3 linked regions of the Styela clava genome follow. Each later gene encodes a partner of the first gene's protein in a complex. Links are inferred from orthologs where the notes say so. Each region holds a gene or a part of one and is shown in the gene's direction. Other genes may lie near its edges. The genes, in order: eukaryotic translation initiation factor 3 subunit H-like, eukaryotic translation initiation factor 3 subunit F-like and eukaryotic translation initiation factor 3 subunit J-like.

Region 1 (7,357 bases):
AAGCAGTTTAGGTTGCTCATTTCTGTTATAAGTGCCATTCAAGGTTACAGTTTTCAATTTACCATTAGATCTTTAAATTACTTACTACAAATTCGTTTATAAAAATTCAGCTCCCTAGCCCTACCCTTCGTCACCTACCGTATGTTTTTATCCAAATTGTATCCTATTCTCAGAAACAGAATTCCGAAATGCTATGATTCAGTTTACTACCTAATTCGACATTCAACACGAACAACGGAAAACATTTTTTCACATTTATTTTAGATGATCCAAATTATCATCAGCATCACGGGAGGTTTCCTTTTAATCATGATTACGTCAAAGGCCTTCAATTCGAAGATCAGCATTTGTCTCAAGGTGGCGCCCCGGAACACATCGCAAGTAGTCAACGATTACCTGTAAATGATTCCTATCCTGCGTGTTATCCCTACTATTTTGCCGAAAATATGTATGCAGATGAATACATGGATTCAGAATGCAGCCCAAACTTGAACACTGGAAATAAAATGCCACCCTATGCGCACGAGGACGCCAAGAAACCCGACTATGGTGCAAGCCCCTCAAACAAGAAGCATACAAAACGCTCAGATGAAGTTGCAGATTTGGAACCTAAATTCCGATCACCCTGGGAACTTGTGCAGAACAAAAAGACAATGCCTGAAATGAAGTCTATCGTCGCTAAAGATATGTCACTGCATCAACCGTCTGATGAAAAGAAACCGTCACCTGCCGGAAATAAAGACTTGAAATCCCCTTGGCAACCCGTGTGGAAATACAATTTTCCACATCTTCTGATGGAAGATACGCAACTAGATCGCATCATAGAGCTACCGAAGACAAAGCATGGAGGAAAAACATTCCAAGTCATTCCAAGGCGACGAAGGTAAAAAGTCCATAGGTCATGGAAGCATTGCAAGATAAACGGAATTTCTAACTTGTTTGGATTACATAGCCAACTTCATGTTTATGCATATATTATTACGGAATTTTTCAGGTCAGAATCACCTTCGCCAGGAGGCAAGAGATCTGTCGGAAACAATCGGCTAGGAACTCCATTTGTTGACAAACCGGTAACTCGGTCTGAACCTGATGGAAGTGAGTTTATATATTGCTTCACGAGGAGATTGACGATTTAGGCAAAATTTAAATGATATTTTTGCAAAACCATGCCGATTCATAACTTCAAATTTTCATAGTTACGACAGAATGTAAGCTTTGCCTAAAAATCCTATTGCTAAATCTAATAAACTGGACAACTATTCTCTTGCAACTTGTACAGGCATGGTGTAGTATTGGCCAGTACATCATTAAAATGATATTAGTGAAAATATCACCTACAACTTTTCCAGATTCTTCTCCAAAATGTGAATCAATATGGAACAAAAGTCGACAAAGCAAAACTTTTTTGAAGGATAATGTTACGAAGCAGATTGCTAGAAGGTACATACACAATTGTGTCTCATTTCGCCTAGTTTATTAAGTAACTTTTTGTCTTCACTACCAATTCATTATTATTTTAACACTTTTCGAATAGAGACAATCTCATAGCTGTTTTTATATTAGGTACTAAACCACAAATCATTGGTTGGAAACGTTTTTTATATATCCGAAACGTTTATACATTGACAGGCAAGAAAACGGACACACGTTTTTGCAATTAGATAACAATGGTTCATTAGAATCTCCTTCTCCAAAGGTACTTTCTTATAGCCGACATTTCACGCCGTCCCCAGTACACCAACACTCGCAAAATGAAAGTGACACAAAGAAGGAAGAATCGGATTTTTATGCGAACCAATACAGGTATTTTGTAATAAATTTTACCAAGCAAATCAAGCCCTAGCCCCTCTTATGAAATTATGTCCGACTTGGACCATAAAATTGAATAAGGCATAAGCTAGAAAGATGCAATAGAATTGCAGTGTTTTTTATAAATCATTTTATGCAGGCCTTATCATGAAAGACCCATTTCCACTGCCTCAGACAAATCACGTGATCAAGAGGAAATATCTGAGAGGACAACAAGGCCTAATCATAGTTTGAAATCAGAGAATTCATACAGAAAACTGAGCAAAGCGGTCAATTTTGCTCCGAGCACCTTTCCTCGAATGCCCCCACCATCTTATAGAGAATCTGAAATGACGGACGGAGTTGAAGATTTTGTCGAGAACAATGGTAGATACTTTGACAATGGAGGATGTTTTTATCCGAACGAATTTGGCATTCGGAACCCACTGGGTATGAGCAGAGAAAACGCGTTTGTAAAGCGACAATAATAGAGCCGATCTAGATGGCCTGAATTAAGTAAAACGAAGCTTGTAGACATGTGGCTGATTTCTTTTATTTGTTATAAATTTGACAATATTGTTATTTTATAAACACTATAAATTGTATATATTACTAGCTTTTTTACATGTCATTTCTGCAGTTCCGGCAAAATTTCACTTTTCAACCATGCCGTTTCGATCATAATGTATGAATTAAATTGTCTCTGCTCTTTAGAATGAACGATATGGTATATACAGTAATGGGTGTCTCCAAAATGTCGTGCCCCAATGTACCACGTGTCCAGGAGAAGTGGGACACGTGGTACCCGACATTTTGGAGTCACCGTACAGGTATGATATACCGGGACGTAATAATGTTTTTCGCAGCGAACTATTGTCTTGTGGTTTGTTGGTACCGAACGTGGTTTATCATCATTTAAACTGGATAACTTGCTTTTCATATATCTCCTTGTAAAATTATTGTGCGTAATGGCGTCTTCAATAAAACATCTATATTTTCATTCGATGTGGATTTTGGCATTAATATTTTACAGCAACAGCAAATGCTATGTTCAGATAAAAATATTTAATTCACAATTGAACTCCAGGCACCGGCTGTGTTTCAGCTATTAGATTAAACTACCAACTTTCGTGATATAAACCAAACTGCTCTCTGTCCAAATGACTCTTCTGAGAATGCAAAATACTAGATAAGGGTTGTTAGATTCAGTTAGAACAGGGTCGTCCAACCCGTGGCCCGCGGAAGTATTTCGAGTGCCCCGCGCTGTATTCTTTAGAATTCATTAAAAAAAAAGTTGAGTATATTTATCATTCGAGTGATGTAATGTGCAAAGATATGATACAAACGATATGCTTATTTTCCTGAAATGCGCTCTGCCACCCCTTTCAAGATGCAATAGTCGCTACGTATATACATAAAAGCCATAGCACATACATAAAAGCGAGCTAGCCCCAGATTGAAAATTCGTTAAGAAATGTATTTTTCGGGTTGTCAATGTTTCATGTCCGGAAATAAAAAAAAGGCGTTTGCAAAAATAGGCTTGTCAAGACAGACGGTTCTCGTCTTGTTGAAAAGCTTGGGAATTCTATAGCAGAAACTTTAATTGCAGTGGCCCGCGCACTTAATAGTAAACTAAATGTGGCCCTTCAGTCAAAAAGGTTGGACGACCCTAAGTTAGAATATGGGATTTGTCATTTTCTGGCAGTATTTCACTGTACTGTAAGTTCATCATCTGGCAATGATTTTAAAGTCATATTGTCTCCACGCACTCCACGACTCCACGCACAATGAAATGATTCGACAGTGATCCTCCCATCATATTTGTTGTCCACTGTAGGATAAATTTGTATAAAAACAACAAAATTACGATTAGCACAGTTTCACAGCCATAGCACAAAGATATATATTTTCATTGCATAGCACAAGGAGCTAGCCTAGGAAAACGGCCTATCCAACAAATCGCTGTAAATAGATGAGTTTTGTATAACTTAGCTTAGAAGGCTATAATATCAAAAAGTCAAGAGTTTAGTCGTACCTAAACTATCTATATCTACCTTTAGCATTTCTCCTGGATTATACAGACGCCCCCTCAACAATATGCAACCAGTGAGCGCTGGCTCCTAGAAACGATTGGTCGGTTAAATGTTTCGTGTCGAAAATACGCTACCGGACGCGGCACATGGAACAACAATAAAAAACAGTACTCGTGAGACGCCAGCGGAATACTGTTTACATTTCCCACCGGGGAATAACGAGTTCATAAATTCAGATGTGTGAATAGGTTTGCTAATCGTCAAAATTTCATTTTACAAAATACTAAACTATAAAGGGTAATTAAACTTTTTAGAGTGTTTTAATCACAATATACTTGCACAACAATCGTATTCAACTTTTATTGAAGCTGAAATTTTATCCGCATGGGATACAGTTTGATTTCGCCATTTCACCAAACAGTGATACTACAGACACATGTCACGGTCGCATACGCCACTTTGGCATACACTACAGCTGCTTAATTTTGCGCGTTGCAGGCTTTTGTAGTTTTAATCGCAGGTCTCCCTTGTTTTTTCATTGATTCTTTGCGATGGATTTGGGAATTGGAGCAACGGTTAAAAATGTTCAGATAGATGGTTTGGTAAGTTGTTGCTTTTTTTAGATAAAAAAATCGTTACAGTTAATGCCTTTCAATTTTATATTTGAAAACTCAGAAGGTTGACACTCAATAATACCGGTATCGGTACCCTGCAAAAACTCCACCAGTCCACGGTACCGTACCATATGTCCGTAGTCTATGTATGCCTGACCTCTATTGTATATTTAAAGAGGTGTAGGAAATGGAACATTGTAACTACCGGTATGTCTGCATGTAAAATAATAATTCTACTGTTATAATGTCTTTAGTGTATAGTCTACCCTCTGACCAGTGATAAGCTGGAAAAATCATAACAACCGGAACGCACCTAATTGCAAAAATGTAATAGGCCTATATATATTTGCAACACAACGCGAACATTTACAGAAAGTTTTGTCTGTCCTAAGATAGAGCCGAAGGACTGCAAGGAAATATGAAGAAATTATCTGAAATATGTCGGTGTAAAATTACAAGAATATTAATAGCAATTCAACACAAACATTATTATTAGAAAGGTATAAAATGAATTTCTATGGGGTCAATGGTCCGGAAAACATCTATGACGCGCTACTGCTGTACTAATTATTTGCGTGATGTGATGTAAAAAGAATTATGAATTATGATGTAACAAAACATGAATTAATTAACTAAGATTACCAGAGGAATCGACTTTTTGTACCATAATTTTAAATCAACAACAGGAACGCAAATGCAATAAAATGTCCAACAACTGGAATGCCTTTCCGGTGCGTTCCGGCTACAGCTCACCACTGCCTCTGACCCTAGTAGACATCACAATTGCATAAAATGACTTATTAGGATTTACATATATTTATCTCGGGGAGAGGAAATCTGGTGAGACGGCTTAATCATATAACATACCTCAGCCTCTCGTCCAGTTACCAGTCCATGTTGTATGGGATTGTTAGCCTGTTATTTGTTTCAAATACATTGACTTGCAGATTTGGTGGTGGAGGAAGCTGTAAATGTGAAGCGGTTATGTTAACCACCCTAGGCCCCCAGGATTCCAGCAATCCTTTTAATTATCTCCAACAGGATTTGAACCTGAGAACCCACGCAGGGTAATCAGAGGTGCGGTGGTGAGCGTATTCCTATTGCTGTAACGCTTAGCACGATACGCCATACCACCAAGATTTATGTACTTCATTTTATAACACAGGTTGTCATGAAAATAATCAAACACTGTGAGGAGGACAACACCGGACCAGAACTTGTGCAGGGAGTATTACTTGGACTTGTTGTTGGGGAGACTTTAGAAGTCACCAACTGTTTTCCGTTTCCTCGTGTCCCTGAAGATTCAGAGTTCGATGAAGGTTGGTTACAGTACTAAATAATTTGTTTTCTTAATTTGGTTTTTATTATTTTTTTGAGATATTAAGTTTCATAGGGCTTGGGATGTTCGTTTGTGCATACTCTCATTGATATTAATTTTTTTATCTTTTTATATATTTACTATTTCTTTTAATATACTAGGGATTACAGTCCAAGTCGCAATCTTTTCTTGTTATTTTCGCTATTTATTTTTATTTTGCTATTCAACTTATGAATCCCATGAATATAAAACTAGTAGGCCTATCAAACTAAACATTTTTAATTACTCAAATTCAGAAAAAAAAACTAGCAATATAATGAAGCCCTTGAATTACATGTTGTAGTATCACGATGAAAGTTTTGCAGAGCTTATGATACTTATTATACCCTTTACAGTTCAATATCAGATGGATATGATGAGATGTTTACGTCATGTTAATATAGATCATTTACATGTTGGATGGTATCAATCATCATTTCATGGAAATTTTATCAACAGACCTTTCCTAGAATCCCAGTTTTCATATCAGAATGCCATTGAAGAATCTGTTGTCCTAATATATGGTAAGATTTCTTATATAGCTTTTAATGTTCGGATTTCTATGTATTGAATGTATGATGTATCAAAAATTAATGTTCTTTTTTTGTGTATGAAATAATGTATTTACTCTGACATAAAAATCCTATTTAGATCCACTGAAAACAGGACAAGGAAATCTTTCACTAAAAGCTTTCCGTCTTACTCCAAAAATGATGAAATTGTATGAAGCTGGTGAATTTACAGTAGAAAGGTAAATATATGTTACACTCATAAGGAGATAATAACTATTGCTGTGATGATAACAGTAGTGTGGAGGTTGCTATATGCCCATACACTGTAATATGTATGATAGGATTGGTTTTAAATATTAGCCATTTACTTCATGCACTATTTTCTATTTTGTTTTCTGTTGTTGTCATTTGTTAGAAAATTACTTCGATTGTTTTCAAAGAATCACCTCATAATTTTTGTTATTTCTAATTCAAACTTCCTTTCTCCATTACATGGATAATCTCAAATAATCTATACTCTCGAAGTATGTGAACCAAGATGGCGGACACCGGAACGTAGTTTGTGTTCCAAGGGAGGGTTAGGCCATAATTTTATTCCAATTTTACTCATTTAGTTATATCGGCTCGAGGACTAGCCAAGTGACTCCCGTAGTATTTGTAGTTGAAATTAACTGGTAAACATACTATGTACCGGTGTCCGCCATCTTGGTTCACATACTTCAGGAGTACAAAAAAAACTAGTGTCCTGTGTCCATATCTTATTTGTCTGTCAAGTATACTCTCAGCTGTTCGTTTAGTTTGGATTTGGATAAAACCTCTCTCATAGTTGCCGGTATTTTATTGTACTATTCTCAGCTAAGGTAATGTGATTTCTACTTTATTTTAAGCCTTAAAGCTCAGAAGTTGGGCTTCACAGATGTATATGAGGAAGTTCCTATAAAAATCAAAAATTCACCTCTTACTGGACTCATGTTGTTTAAAGTAAAAGATGAAGATCCAGTACCGGAAAAAGTTAATTATTTGAATCTTGCTCACAAGTAAGTATAAACCTGA
Region 2 (7,142 bases), on another chromosome or scaffold:
CCTGGTTTCATATGAATGTGGCCGATTCCTCCTAGAACTGCTGCAGCAAGTTTTGATCGATATGGATTCCACGCTCTGTATTCAATCTTTATGCCATCATTCTGTAATTATATAGTTGAAGTTGAGTGAATATCGTTCTTCCATAAAAAACAAGAAAGTGATATACAGAGTGTCAATATAGCCTTTTTTAAAACTGCAAAGGGAATTTGTCGATGCCATATATTGTTTTGGCACTGACAGGTGTGTTAAATTGAATTGAGAACTGATTTCCTAACAAAATTAAAATTGTAAAGGGACTTTATAGAGCAGGGGTCGGGAACCTTTTTGGTCAAGAGAGCCATAAAATATACATATTTTCAATTGCATTTCCATGCGAGCCATATAACATTTCTTCACTTAATCAGGCCTGAAATGTTTACTCAAAAGTCAACACATACAATGTCAATATACATTTAATGTGATTTCTGATGCTGCATGTAGTCGCTGCGGGCCTTGAACGGTTGCTCACATGCAGCACAAGTTGAAATCTAAGATACTCATCACCCTTTTTCGTTTAGGCATCTCCGTAGTGTTTTTAAAACTATATCGCTTTGTGAAGTCACAATATATGTTCCAGATTCCCCTTGTTTGTCACAATGCCTGTCTGGTAATTATCTTACACAACATAGACATGTGCTGGACGCGCGTTCTCAAGCGTACTGGGAATTTCCTGCCAAATTTGGCTATAAAAGAGTTTGAAATCTCGTAACAATAGTAAGCTTAGTCTTGGAACATTAGATTTTTCTGGGAGCCATATGCCGTCACCAAAAGAGCCATATATGGCTCGCGAGCCATGGGTTCCCGACCCCTGTTATAGAGTATAGACGCTCTGTATAAAACATGTGTTAAAAAAAGTTTCCTCTTAACTATCATGGTCCTTCATCCAAACGTATCAACATGTTTACACACTCCAGTTAATTGGATTTACATATTTATCCTGGGAAAGAGAAAAGCCGATAAGATGGTTTAACCATATGCCAAACCAGGGCCTTTTGTCCGGTTACCAGTTTATGTTGAGTATGGAATTAGTTAGCCAGTTACTTGTTTTCGGAAGTATGGTAGTTCGTAAGTTATTTTATAGATATTTTTGTGGGTCTTGTTTTAATGAGAAAAACCGAGAATTTACATTTCATTGAATTACATTGGATACTGCTTGTAATAACATCCAGAACACACCATGGTCGTGTATTTTGAGTGACTAACCAGTGAGCTATTTTCATACCTGACTTGGGCTGAAAAGATATAGTTTTTCTCATTATTAAATCAACCTATTGGCTTTCCCATGATAAAATCACCTCTTTAAAATCGACCAAAGCAACTTCGCAATTTTTTTTTTAACTGCGAAACACCATAGTACTCCTAACTTCCTTACAGGGAACACTGTTCCCCAAGATAAATCATATTTAATCGAATATATTCATAAAAAAAACATTCAATTTCACGAACCTCAACTTCCACTTTCTTTTCTCCATAGACGGTGTTCCCGGGTACAAGATTTTTCGTCAACAAAGCGTCATCTTTTCCTCTAGCTACGAATATTCCTGGATGCTTATGGGGTTCAACAACCGTTGACCTTCCACCTCTGAACCCTCCTCCACCTCGACCTGCCATGAATAAAGTCAACTTCAATGTAATATCACAGAAAATGCCATCACATGGCACAAACAGAAAAATTAAATCAAGCAAATGCTGCAATAATGACTTCAGTAAAATTTGCTAGAGAACAGCAGTACAAGCACTTTCACGTTAGAAGTTCCAGTGGCTCTTGGCATTTCAGAGGTCGGTTGCAACTTTGCTCAAAAATTAGTCTGCTTTACTTCTGATTGAGTGGGCGTAGTTCTTGGCAGGAGTGTACCCAGGTGGGTTTAGGGGTCGGAACCCCACACTTTTGTGAAAAAAGGATTTTTCTGTGTTATACATGAAAATTTTTCCTATCCTCAAAACGTTTTTTTAGACATTTAAGTCTCTTGAAAACCCACATTACTGCTTCCAGCCGGACCCGCCAGCTGTCTAACTCAAGTGCAGTTTCAAGTATTTTGTGGCGTCTACAGCTGCCGCAAAACCATGGCGGGATTTCCAAACCACGGCCACTAAGACCAAACCCACGGCGACTGACTTTTTAGCTGCCACAAACCAATAGCGAGCTGCCGTGGTTACGGCAGCAAATCGAATACCACCAATTTTAATGCCGTAACCACGGCAGGTCGGCTGTAATAGCAGGGCTGCCCCTAATCTGCTGATGGTGATAAATATTTGGTGAGTTGGAATGTTTTTCTTATGGATACAGTTTGGATGGATTTGGGGTTAGGGTTAGGGTTTAAGTAGATATAATTTCGCATGATAAACTAAAATATGGTACATGAATTTGTAAATATACCCGTAATAGCGCCATAAAACCATGGCAGGAGACGGCGTGGTACGTTCGTGGCAGGAGCTGCCATGAAGTGGTAAGAACTGCGCCTCGTCTAACTTGGCAATTAGAAATTTCAGAACTCCCTCTTAAAAATTCTTCTGTTGTCGTTCGTAACTCTGATCAAAGAGGAGTATCCTTCATATTCAAGTGACTATAAGTGTCTTTGCTTTGGACAAAAATGTGATGTGAAAATGAATGCTTTGAGTGCTTAATAACGCCAAACAAATCTTTTATGCGTCACACAGACTTTAATGTTAATTACATTAAAATTTCACATCACATTTTTGTTTGGAGTTATTTGAGCAGTTGCGGCGTTCACTTAACTACACCCCAAAATCCTGTAAAAATAACATTGATAAAGAGTAAGTCCAACTTACCACGGGGTCCTCCTCTACCCCCGCCTCGGCCACCAAATCCGCCACGCCCACCTCCGCCAAATCCACCACGCCCACCTCCACCTCTGCCACCGAATCCGCCTCTGCCGCCCCCTCTTCCTCCTCCTCTAAAACCCCCTCTGCCGCCACCTCTTGGTGAAAAACCTGAAAAAAATGAATAAAAGAAAGTTTTAAACAATAAATATGAGATGAACCCGAGAAACTTAGAAGCACAAAATAAAATTGAAAGATTCAACGTACTTTTGATAAGGATAGGATTTACATATTTACCTAGAGAGCGAAAAGCCAATAAGACGACTTAAACATATGAGCATAAATAACAAGTGGAAACCTATCAAATATTCTTGTGACACATAATGTTCAGATGTTACTCTATTATGCTTACTTAAACAAACAACACATCACTGCTGTACCGTAAAAGCGCCCAACTTCGGACAGTTCCTAACTTCGGACAAAATTTTTGAACGGCCATATCTTGGATAAAACGCGCCGTATATTGCTAATTTTAATTATTATAGGTTGCGCTGTTATATTACCGTACCACATAGGTATAAGTTTATATCGACAGAATAATCAGCATAACTGGCGAAAAATGATTGATAAAAACAAATAAATAAAACTGATCGCAGAATCAGGAACGCTAACAAAACCTTAAGTAAGGTTTACCTTCAATTTATGAAAATATCACACAAGTGTTGAGCCAGCATAATTAATATACAAAATACTATATTTATATTAAACACATCAAATAACTCACCAGGTCTCCCCATTTAGAAGATAGCACAAAATCCTTGATAAAGTTCAGTAAGTCACAACGCGAATGCAAACCAAGAGCTAACGAAACTTTAACAGCGCAAATGCAGCCAAGAGACCAGCGTGAACAACACACGTGCAATGGTAAGAGTCACTCAGTCGTATCATTTTGCTATATACGTCATGTTTCGTGATGTAATTTTGAGGGTACGTTATGAATTAAATATTTAAAAATATAGATAAAATTATAATAAATATATTTATATGTTTGTTTTATCTTTATATAATTTTTTCAATAGCTGGAGATAAATGATTTTTGTATAGTTGAACACGGAACCACAACCGATAGTTTCCTGAGTAATTCACTTGCATACAGTTACAAGCCGAATCCCAGGTTTTTGAGTTCACGCCTCGAGTATTCGAAAAATACCTGTTAAATCTTACAAATCTTATCTATTTATGATTTTAAAAGATTTTAATATTGTGCTAATTTACATATTTTCCATCAGATAACTCTTAGTACATTATAATATTATAAAAATGTCGGAAAATCGGCGGGTCTGCGTTCACCCTGTGGTTTTATTCACCATTATTGACAGTTTCGAAAGGAGGAAAGAAGATGCAAAAAGAGTAGTAGGAACACTTTTAGGTAAGAATTGTAAAATTAGTGCTTTTTAATTGTAATTTAGTTATGTGACAATATTAATTCATTAGTAATATTCATTTGTGCTTTTTTTCTGCAAGTTTGATTTTGTTCTTGTGCAATCATGAGTATTTCAAAAGGAAATCAACCTATAAACAAGTCACTGGACAAGCAGAGATCTAGAGAGCTCCTTTTAACTTTTCAATTTTAAATATTTTTATTTTAATTGCTTCAATTAATTTTATGAATACTTCAAATGGCTTCTTCGTCAATTCGATTATAATATTAAAGTATTCATATTTCTTTTTTCACTCGTATCGTGAATATTTTAACTTCATAATCAGCATACAAAACGAAGAAATAATTGATAAAAACAAAACAAAAACGAACAGAATAAAGGTTGGAAAAAGGAAAACATTAAAACTTACAGAATCAAAATATAAAAGTGATGGTAGAGGAAATGGCTTTACTGACAGTAGCATTTTATGTTGCTCTCATTTCCTATCACATTGCTGATTTCTCTATGTCAGGGATGGCGAACCACTTACCCGCGGGTGACAAAGTGACCCACCGCGTTTTATTCTTGACCCGCCGAGGAACGAATAAAATAAAAAAAATGCTAACATATCAGTGATAAAAGTTGATGAAAATGGCTTTCAATTATTCCAACAATAACTAAACTATTATAATGTACCGTCAGTTGGCAGTCAGGGCTGCGATCGCTCATATTCAAATTGTTAATTTTCGGGTCGGTATGGTAATTTTCCAAACTCCTAATCTTGTACGGTATCTTGTTTTTGGTAATTCGTACTCTAATTTCATAAAATAGGGTGTCATAAAAAGTCCCTGATAGAAGAAGTGCTGCATAAGTAAAGCCCAAAACTTCACCAACACAAACAGAAGCTTAGGTTCAGGAGTTTCTTATAGATACAAACATTGCTTAAATATCTGTGACCCACTCTCTTCTGTTCCGCGATAAAAATATAATTTTTGACCTATTCATTGAAAAAGGTTCGCTACCCTTGCCCTATGTCTAGGTTAAATCTTGTTGGAGAAAAATATGTCATGACATGAGCTCATCAAATCTTATCCTAACTTCTTCCAGGTACTGTTGATGCAAACGCAGTTACAGTCACGAATGCTTTCTGTGTTCCTCACACAGAATCAGACGATGAAGTCGCATTTGACATGGAGTACGCCAAGAATATGTACGACCTTCATAGGAAGGTCAATACAAATGAAGTGATCGTTGGATGGTAAGAACAGTTTTCCACATTTGGTTTGTTCCCAAGCACACTTCTCAGATTTCAAGGATGTCCTCAGGAGAATATTTATATAACATAAAAATTAAATTTTTTTTTCAACGGGGCATCTGGTAAGACGACAGACGCATTAAAAATGACGATTTCGCAGTCTTTAAAAATAACTGCGAAGGTGTCACTCACATATCGCAAAAAAAGTGCGCTAATAGTGAACACTGCGGTGCATGATACCAATAATAATAACATTTTTTATCAATAAACACTTCTATTTATTCTTCACCAGGTACGCGACTGGGCATGACATTACCGAACACTCTGTACTTATCCACGAGTATTATACGAAAGAAAGTAAAAATAAAATGCCAGTTCATCTCACTGTTGATACAACACTGACTAACGGAGAACTTGGATTCAAAGCATACATAAGGTGGGGAGTAATGAATAATAAAAAAAATTTCATGAGAATTTTTTCAAGGCAAGGTAATAATGCACTCCCACTCAGAGGTAAAAAAGATTTGGTTCTGAGTGAAGTTGCCTTGAGCTACTGTAAGTCTGAAACTATGTAGATTTATTCATTATAGGTTAGTAAAAGCTGATTGACGAGACTTTAAGCTGTTTAAATCAGGGTTGTCCAAACTCAGGCCCGCGGGCCACATGTGGCCGGCCGCTGCATTATCTGTGGCCCGCGCCGGAATCAGAGGGTAATCAAAAAATCGCATTTGGTGTTGTTTTGCCATAAAGTTAATCAGAAAAATCTTTTAACATATTGTTACATCACTGATGTGACTAGTGTTATGGCACTTTTTTCCAGTACACCTGTAGTATGCGTCACAATAATAGCGGACAACGGAACGTGGTATGTGTACCAGGTTAGGGTTAGGCCATAATTTTATTCCAATTTTCTATATTTTAGTTATATTACTAGTTCTGGGACTAGCTATTTGTACGTGAAATTATGGTCTGACTCCAACCTGTTACACAAACTACGTTCCTGTGTCCGCCATCTTGATTCACATACTACAGGAGTACCATTTTCCGTCGAAATCTTACACTAAATGTAGATATAAAAAGACTTATGCAGGTTTTTTTTGGTGGTTTTTGCATATTTTAGCTTGACAAAAGACAAATACTGACAAGTACTTGTTTTGTATTGCACTGTTTACCTATTCTTGGCACTATTTGTGGCCCGCGAATAATGCTAAAATAATTTTGTGGCCCTCGGAGTTGACAACCTTGGACCACCCTGGTTTAAATCTAAAAGTATGATCAAGGTTGAACACAATTTTATATCAATTAGGTGCCAATTTAAGTGATCCTGGAATACAATAATATATATCTTTTCTTTTTACACAAGCTCACCCATTGGAGTCCCAGGCAAAACCCAAGGAATGATGTTCACACCCGTTGATGTGAAATTACTTCAATACGATGCAGAGAGGGTTGGAGTCGACAGAATTCAAACTGTAAGTATTTATGACTCCTTGCACCACCCAGATCTACGCATCTGCAATAATCAACTTACTGAAACTGCAAGACCCTAGTACTCACCAGGCGAGATTAATGTCTTCATAGGATCTTTATTTGTACAATTTAGTTCAAAGCAAGATACAAGCTCTCACGACCCCTTATGTAATAAT
Region 3 (7,432 bases), about 5.1 Mb from region 1:
GGCAGAAATGTGTCTATGACTTGGGGACATACGCAATTTTGCAACTTTACTATATGCACCAGTTCTGAAAACTAAACATTCCAGAAACGAATGTAATTCTCAGTATCTACAATGTCTAATCCCCAAAATAGCTAATCTGTTTTAATTACATTATTTTTCATGTTTAAAAATATATATTTCATCAATATAACACGTTCTGCAAACCCACCGAAATAAGACTAAGATTAAATATAAAGAATAAAACAGTAATGCACCCAATATAAAAGCCAACCAAGGTGAATTGGACTCGGACAGTGAATATCACAAGTGCACGTCTTCCTATACTGTAGTATAAATTCAAATTAATACGCGCTAAGCTAGAATCCGAGATGCAAAAACTCGAAAATACTTCGGCGAGGTTATTTTGCCTTTGTGACGTCACAATAGTCCTGCTGGAACACTGATAATTCATTATGACGAAACAATTGCACAAACGTGCATGTCATACTAAATCTCCATTTTTAGGGGTTTCGGAATTCTTAAAATAAAATCTGAGTTAACAGACAGGTGCGCAGCATTACATAAATACCTATTTTATGAAAAACTCAAAATCATCAAAAATGACTTACGCAATTCGGTTATTAGCGTGACGATATTATACTATATAAATATTTCAATTCGTAACTGTGTCAAATTTCAATTTGGCTAAAACAGGCTTGTCGCCACTTTGTTATCACTCTATGTGCTGAGAAAACGGTATTTACGAATCCCCTCGGGTTTAATATGTTATTCTTGATGGACAAGTCAAATATTTCCTCTTTCTCTAGTGCAGAACAAAAAACAAAATCATTCATTCTAAGTAATAAAAATAATAGGGCACTAATGAGAATATTTCTGAATGCTAAGTGAATGCGAAATACGAGAAGGCTTAAAGTAAATATGTCGTGCTGCATGAAATATATAATCTACGATAAAAAGTTTTCAAATTGAATGGCAAAAAAATATTTTGTGAAAAGTAATCAAAAAAATACTTTCATTCGAGATTCCATTTCAGATAGAAATCGTTCTGATTGGTATAGGTCATAGGATAAGCAAACAAGAACAGTAGGTATTAGTTATATTACGTTTAAATATCATCCTTTTATAATTAAAAATGACGCGGCCACAAACCTGCCTAATCTGTTCATTCCTGTTTAAATTTGAGCCAAAAGGCTCTAGCGTTGATTTTGTATTTTTTGATACTTCCAGTCGTGACTAAAATATAACAAATATTGAGTTATTTCGACAATATGGAAAAGAACATTTTTCCCATATCTCAAGTTCACAACATTATCCCAAACCGATACTGTGAATACCTTACTTTGATGATATTCAGTGCTTTTGTGTATTATACGAATCCAACTCAAACGCGCTAATTCCATAAAAATATATAAAAAAATTGATATTATTGATTTCCTGATCGGATTTCCAGTTGTTGATTACAATTTATTATCTCTTACTATTAGTATTAAGCTGACAATTGTTATGTTTACCGTTAAACGCTTCGGTGGATGACTTCTTATAATACTTTTTGACGATGTTGGTATATTGAACGATATGCCTGAAATTAGAAGAATGTGTATTATAGGGGTAAAAGATCATTCACGCTATTTTTCACGCAGCGAAGATTGAATTCTTTATCACTACTCCGCGTTAAAAATGAAATTTTGGTATAAATTGAGACATATATATATATTAATACTTGTAGTACCAGCGACAAAATTGCAAGTTATATTAAATTCAGTTGATATAAATTTCGAATAAAAATGTGTAGCAGTCAATGGCGTGTTATTTAAATATACTGCTGATAATGAAATATATTTGAGTTATGTTATTTTTTAGAGCATAGATCTGTGAATAACAAAACTTACCCTTCTTTGGTATGATATGATTTGCGATTTGTTCCTCGTCTGCAGACTTCACTATTTCTTCCGTTTCTAAACTGATACCACTATCACCTGAAATTCGTTTTTGCCTGCTACCCTGTGATACATGATTTCCCACACGATTCGATGAGTTTGCCGGTTCCACTGATTTGCTGGAGAAGCAACCCATTTTACTCACATATTTTTTTTCAAATTGTCATCCGAAGTTCTGTAGTATCACTGTACAACACCAGTTTCACTAGCTACTGGTTCTTTGGAATTTGCTTGGATTACATTGTATAAAGCTTGTTGTTCTTTGTGACACTTCGTGAATGAGATTACGTGTCAGCGCCGACTATTGTTTCCATACTGTCATACTGATAAACTTGTAAAGGTATCTTCACCTCTTGTGTGTATATAGAAAACTAATATTGCCTACTATATTAAACTATACGTAACTATCGCATCACGAATAACGTAACAACCCCAGCTGATTGCGCCTTGGCGTATAGAGGGCTTCTAGCGCCTACCTGTTATAAACCGCCCTTCTCTCTATAGCTTGCATGGCAGAAATCGGGTTCGAGTATCATATAATTGAGGTTCGATAGTTGACTGTCGACCTTGCAGCTTCATTAGATTTCCATATCTTTTAATTTACGATTTAATTTGCGCGCAATTTGTTGTAAGTCATTCATCTGTCTGAAATTGCCCTCTATAGTCCGTTAAACATTTAGGCTAAAATATTAACTTCCTGATGATGTTTGCTCGGGCTCATCCTTGACTATGCATTCAATAATAGATGACATATAGGGTGAATCTTGCAGAAATTGTAGATGAGTACACAATCAATATGATACAACTTAATAAAAACTGACATATGTCCATATTGACATTCTGTGTCCAATATTGAGGTAGAGGTCAAAAAGTTACTGAAATGTTTATTCTTTTACCTCACACAGTCATTAATATTAATTCCAGTGGATTATCAATTTGTTTGGCTGATAAACAATATAATTTACTGATGACACAATTCATTTCCGGGATTAATTAAAATTAGTAAATTAGGCTACATACGATAAAAAAAATCGGAGTAAGCACTTTGTTTTGTCACTTCATGCATTGCATAAACATGATTACATCAAAACTGTTATCATTAAGCCGGGCACTCAACTTATTTCTAAAAGATCCAATTGCTGAGTTAGCACGATCAGCCACCAATAATGTAGGTTAAATAGTTTTAAGTAAATCATTCTCAACTTTCCTTGGTCTGTTTGTTGATTTCGCAGAGAATTGGGATTGCGAAAACCCACAAACGAGAAAATCACAGGTTATCTTTGTCGATAGCATGTTTAATTGTCCACCATGGGGTTAGTATTTCGGAACTGAATTGGAGAATTTGGGATCTTGATTTTACGATAGAGTTATGTGCAACATGAAAAGTGGGAAAAGCGGAAAACTCCTCTGCATACAAGGTAGACAGAGAAGATTCACAACAGATGAGCTTCCGAGTTTGTTAAGAGTGCATCAAAATTACAAAATGCCATCTGCGAACCATGATTTTGACACAATATTTCGTTTGGGGCTTCTTATTTCATGTTGCTCTCAAAATAACGATACAGAAAAGTGACTTTTCTATTGGTTTGTTGTTAAAAGGTAAGCATGCAATTTTAAATTCTGTCACATAGTTCTTGTTTCAAGGAGTTGCTATCATTCAAGAATAGATAATTACCCGCAGAATCTTAACTCCGACAATGCTCGAAACTAAACAGACCAAAGTTGTGAGGAGTGGGTGGAAAAATATAATCAGATAAAATGTTTGATAAAAGTAAAGTTCTTTAATGAAATTCCGGTATTAGATGGAAATCTATGAGAAAAGGTTTAAATCCAAGGAATTTGGGATCGGGCTAACCCAATTTAGAACGTCAAGATCAGTAGCTTTTCAGCAACAGGAGATGAGGATTCAGCGAGAAGATTGCTATGTAAATCCTATCCCATCAAACATGGCGAATGATCAAATACTAGTCGCCATAAGGCGCGAGAGAGAAGAAATGGAAATCCGCCCAAGATTTCTCATGTATCTTGCCAGAATTGGAGCCAGCAGTTTACCTTATATCTTGGATTAATTTTAGAATTGTTTTAAAATTTTCGCTTTCCTTATTATATAAATTATTTTGGCATTTTTCATTTATTTAAGAGATAAAATGGTCGACAAATTTAGTATTTAAATTAGTATTTTGTAGAAATAGAGGATCGTTCTAACCAACAGATCTGTCAACCATGAATTACGGTACCAGCTTGCTTGAACATGTGTTGTGTGGATCGGTGTCTGTGAAGAAGGTTTTGGAGGGGTTTGGATTATATCATTGTATCAATGCTCTGTTTCTATTCCTTACTACTGTACTGTACATCATTTATTATTTGTGAATATTGCAACATAGGGTCAGTAGAGTACTTTACAATCACTGAATCAACTTTATTTTTTCTGAAGTCAGCAACTAGATCATTGCATTATTCCAGGTTGTGTTTTATTTAGTCAGTATATTTAGACATTCTGACATTCACACATTGCTTCACTGATCTGACTCTACATCGGGTTTTAGTTTTTATTCCCCGACTCTGTGACTGGAAGTTTTATCACTGAGAACACTTTCTGACTTTGTACAAATCCTGTTGAACGAAGAAAGATATTGCCAATTCTGCAATTAGAATAAAGAATCATGGCTGATTGGGGTTAGATATTGTTCATGCTAATGTTTCTTTTTATTATTGCCTTACAGTATTACCGCACTGACATGTAAAATTGACTTTAATTATTTAAATAATTTCCTAATCAAACAACTACCGTTAAGATATGGTTAAATCATACAAAATTTTTTTTTCTATTTCATCACTTGTTACATGTATGTGAACAAGGATATTTTTTACAATAACAGAAGATGAAGATTTTGAACCTCCAACTATTGACAAACCCGTTGCGCCAGCTACTGATCTGTGGGAGGGAGAAGATGAAGAGGATGACATCAAAGATAACTGGGATGATGAAGAGGAAGAGAAAAAGCCAGAAACACCGAATCAAGGTTTAATATAGCTAGGCTTTCAACTTACAAGACCAAGGCTAATGTTGAAATTTCAAAAATATTTTATTTAAAAATATTACAAAGAAATAAGTACTGTTTTTTAAGCTGGTAATCTAATTATAGTTTGAAACAATGTTCAAAAGTAGTTAAATAAAAAGTTACAGGATATTCAAAATTAAAAATATAGGTTTTTCTCAATTTCTCAAACAGGTTTCCCCCTTTTAGGTTAGAACCCTCGATATTGTAATTGTTTTGCCATTGAGTTCTTTAATATAAAAGCCTTGTTGATTTATTAATTTTTCAGATTTTGGTTGACTTTGTTTTAAATATCATCATATTGACTAGCGGAAGTTTTATAATATGACCAACAAACATGCAAAGCAAACTCATTGAATATACAAAGACTCTCTTCGTTGAAGGCACAGTTTATAGAATCCATATCTGAAAATATTATTTTAGAATGATTCAATTAGTTTTTGCTGTTTCTACTACCAATCAACCAAGACTTTGTTTTGTTTCATTCTTGAATTCTTCCATTTGAAAATATCTATTTACACATTCAATAATTCAAAAAAATTATTATCTGAAAAAAAAAAAATATATATTTTGTTTGAGTGATTGAACAATTTTTTCTGTCCAAGTGATTTCAACTGATATCCTCAAAATTTGGATTTGCTTTCCAGTTTATAGGTTTGATACAAATTATTATTATTGGTGAAATAATTCACTTCATATTTGACTGAAAATTTATATTGAATTCCTGGCCTTGCATGATTTTTTTTTGTTTCTTCATCAGCTGCAGCTGCAGGAGAACCAAAGAAAAGTACAAAAAAGGCACTGTCTAAGAAACTAAAGGAAAAAGAAGAACAAGCAGCTAGAGCAGCAGAGGCAAAAAGGCTGGCAGCACTTGCAGAGAAAACGCCAGAAGAAATTATGGCTGACAAGTTGATGGCTCAAAAGTTATCTGAAGAATCTGATTTTGAAGTTGCTAAAGATACATTCGGTTGGTTTTTTGATTGATATTTGTTAAACATATGTAGAATAAAGCAAAATAACTGATTTTTTGTCATGAATTTCTTCAAATAAGTAGCTTTTATATCGAACACTGTCTTACAAAGAAAACTCTAGGAATAGTAATTTGTGATGGCAATTTCATATCGAAGTCAGTTTTATGGTTATGGTTAATTATGGTTACAATTTGCTTTATTTTTAGGGGAAATCTTTTAGGATGTAAATGGTGATAATGCAGCAACATAAGCGAATGAAGTGTAAAAAAATTTTTTTTTCAGGTGTAACGTCTGCTGATTTGATCACAATAGACAATTGTGATCCAAGAACTAAAGAAGATTTCATAAATTTCGAAAAGTTAATTTCAGAAAAATTCTCAAAATATGAATCGTCTCCGCATTATCAATCCTTCCTTGAAACCTTATTTCGGAATTCTTGCTTAAGTCGTGAGTTGTTTTATTACAGTATTTTTAGTCTCATCTATATAATTAATATTTTTTCCCAAAGTTACTGGCAATCCGTCACATAAACCATCGTATTTAAATGAGACTGGGTAGATGTTTATTAAGGAGCAAACCTTCGGGGGTTCTTCCAAAAATCTGTAACTAGCCTATATTAAAAAGGGTCATCTGTAAATGGACTTTCTATTCGAAATGTCTGTGAAATTTAGTCGAGCAGATTTGGAAATTGGAAACACTTTGGGAATTTTTCCATATGGATCCTTTTAGATTAATCAGTAATTTGATGAATAATAACTAACATGATAATTACTTTAGGGAAACAATAATGGAGACAGCTAGTATGTCCTGACATATTTTTGTTGTCTGACTGATTTTCCTGATCTAAATTGCAATATTTCTAGATAGGACTTGTTACAAATAAAGCATCCAGAGCTGCTTAATATTCAATGCATTTCTCATTCATCTGCTTTTCCTTAGTTGATGCCGAATCTTTGAAGAAACTCATAAGTTCTTTGAATGTTTTACAAAGTGAAAAAGCAAAACAAGAAAGGGTATGTTTTAGATTTTTGACGACTTACAGATTAATTGAAAATATATGTACACACACAAAAATTTGTACCTTAATTATGAAAATCATTTTGTATGGTGTTCAGAAATCCTTTCATTCATGGTTTGAGACTGCGTCTTCACCAAGGGATTCTTGCCATCATGATAGCAAGCATATTCTCAATGCTAAGCTGAATATGCCACAGTGCAGCCAATTCCCTCACTGTGATCAAATCTGTTATTTCCATTATTACTTATCGATTTTAATTGGTAAGAATGTTGATAGGTATCTGTCTGTCTGTTTGTTTGTCTATTAGATGCACGCGATATCTCAGGAAAGCGAGATTGAATCTGCCCCAGTTTTGCATGTGCATTCATCATATGTCGTACCAGAAGCCTATTGATTTTGGATGAATTATGTAGTATAATTAGCGAGTTATTAATTAATTAGTGTTGG

Evidence for each region.
Region 2: eukaryotic translation initiation factor 3 subunit H-like (region 1) and eukaryotic translation initiation factor 3 subunit F-like share a complex: the UniProt entries of both Drosophila melanogaster proteins name them as parts of the eukaryotic translation initiation factor 3 (eIF-3) complex. The link is inferred for Styela clava from reciprocal best matches to the Drosophila melanogaster genes eIF3h and eIF3f1.
Region 3: eukaryotic translation initiation factor 3 subunit H-like (region 1) and eukaryotic translation initiation factor 3 subunit J-like share a complex: the UniProt entries of both Drosophila melanogaster proteins name them as parts of the eukaryotic translation initiation factor 3 (eIF-3) complex. The link is inferred for Styela clava from reciprocal best matches to the Drosophila melanogaster genes eIF3h and eIF3j.

The regions. Positions count from the first base shown.
Region 1 is NC_135257.1:9,053,433-9,060,789, forward strand, and holds the start of eukaryotic translation initiation factor 3 subunit H-like, read left to right. Parts: upstream 1-4,246; 5' UTR 4,247-4,372; coding exon 4,373-4,423; intron 4,424-5,600; coding exon 5,601-5,754; intron 5,755-6,148; coding exon 6,149-6,316; intron 6,317-6,443; coding exon 6,444-6,543; intron 6,544-7,191; coding exon 7,192-7,341; intron 7,342-7,357. Other genes in the region: uncharacterized protein LOC120345504, read left to right, coding at 265-883, 995-1,095, 1,350-1,440, 1,630-1,803, 1,949-2,276. UniProt on the Drosophila melanogaster protein: Component of the eukaryotic translation initiation factor 3 (eIF-3) complex, which is involved in protein synthesis of a specialized repertoire of mRNAs and, together with other initiation factors, stimulates binding of mRNA and methionyl-tRNAi to the 40S ribosome.
Region 2 is NC_135253.1:21,922,459-21,929,600, reverse strand, and holds the start of eukaryotic translation initiation factor 3 subunit F-like, read left to right. Parts: upstream 1-4,090; 5' UTR 4,091-4,140; coding exon 4,141-4,249; intron 4,250-5,348; coding exon 5,349-5,499; intron 5,500-5,788; coding exon 5,789-5,932; intron 5,933-6,859; coding exon 6,860-6,968; intron 6,969-7,142. Other genes in the region: rRNA 2'-O-methyltransferase fibrillarin-like, read right to left, coding at 1-101, 1,486-1,643, 2,830-2,991, 3,605-3,617. UniProt on the Drosophila melanogaster protein: Component of the eukaryotic translation initiation factor 3 (eIF-3) complex, which is involved in protein synthesis of a specialized repertoire of mRNAs and, together with other initiation factors, stimulates binding of mRNA and methionyl-tRNAi to the 40S ribosome.
Region 3 is NC_135257.1:14,144,065-14,151,496, forward strand, and holds the start of eukaryotic translation initiation factor 3 subunit J-like, read left to right. Parts: upstream 1-4,342; 5' UTR 4,343-4,600; coding exon 4,601-4,613; intron 4,614-4,816; coding exon 4,817-4,960; intron 4,961-5,756; coding exon 5,757-5,963; intron 5,964-6,249; coding exon 6,250-6,414; intron 6,415-6,906; coding exon 6,907-6,980; intron 6,981-7,432. Other genes in the region: uncharacterized protein LOC120346066, read right to left, coding at 1,150-1,233, 1,512-1,579, 1,890-2,073. UniProt on the Drosophila melanogaster protein: Component of the eukaryotic translation initiation factor 3 (eIF-3) complex, which is involved in protein synthesis of a specialized repertoire of mRNAs and, together with other initiation factors, stimulates binding of mRNA and methionyl-tRNAi to the 40S ribosome.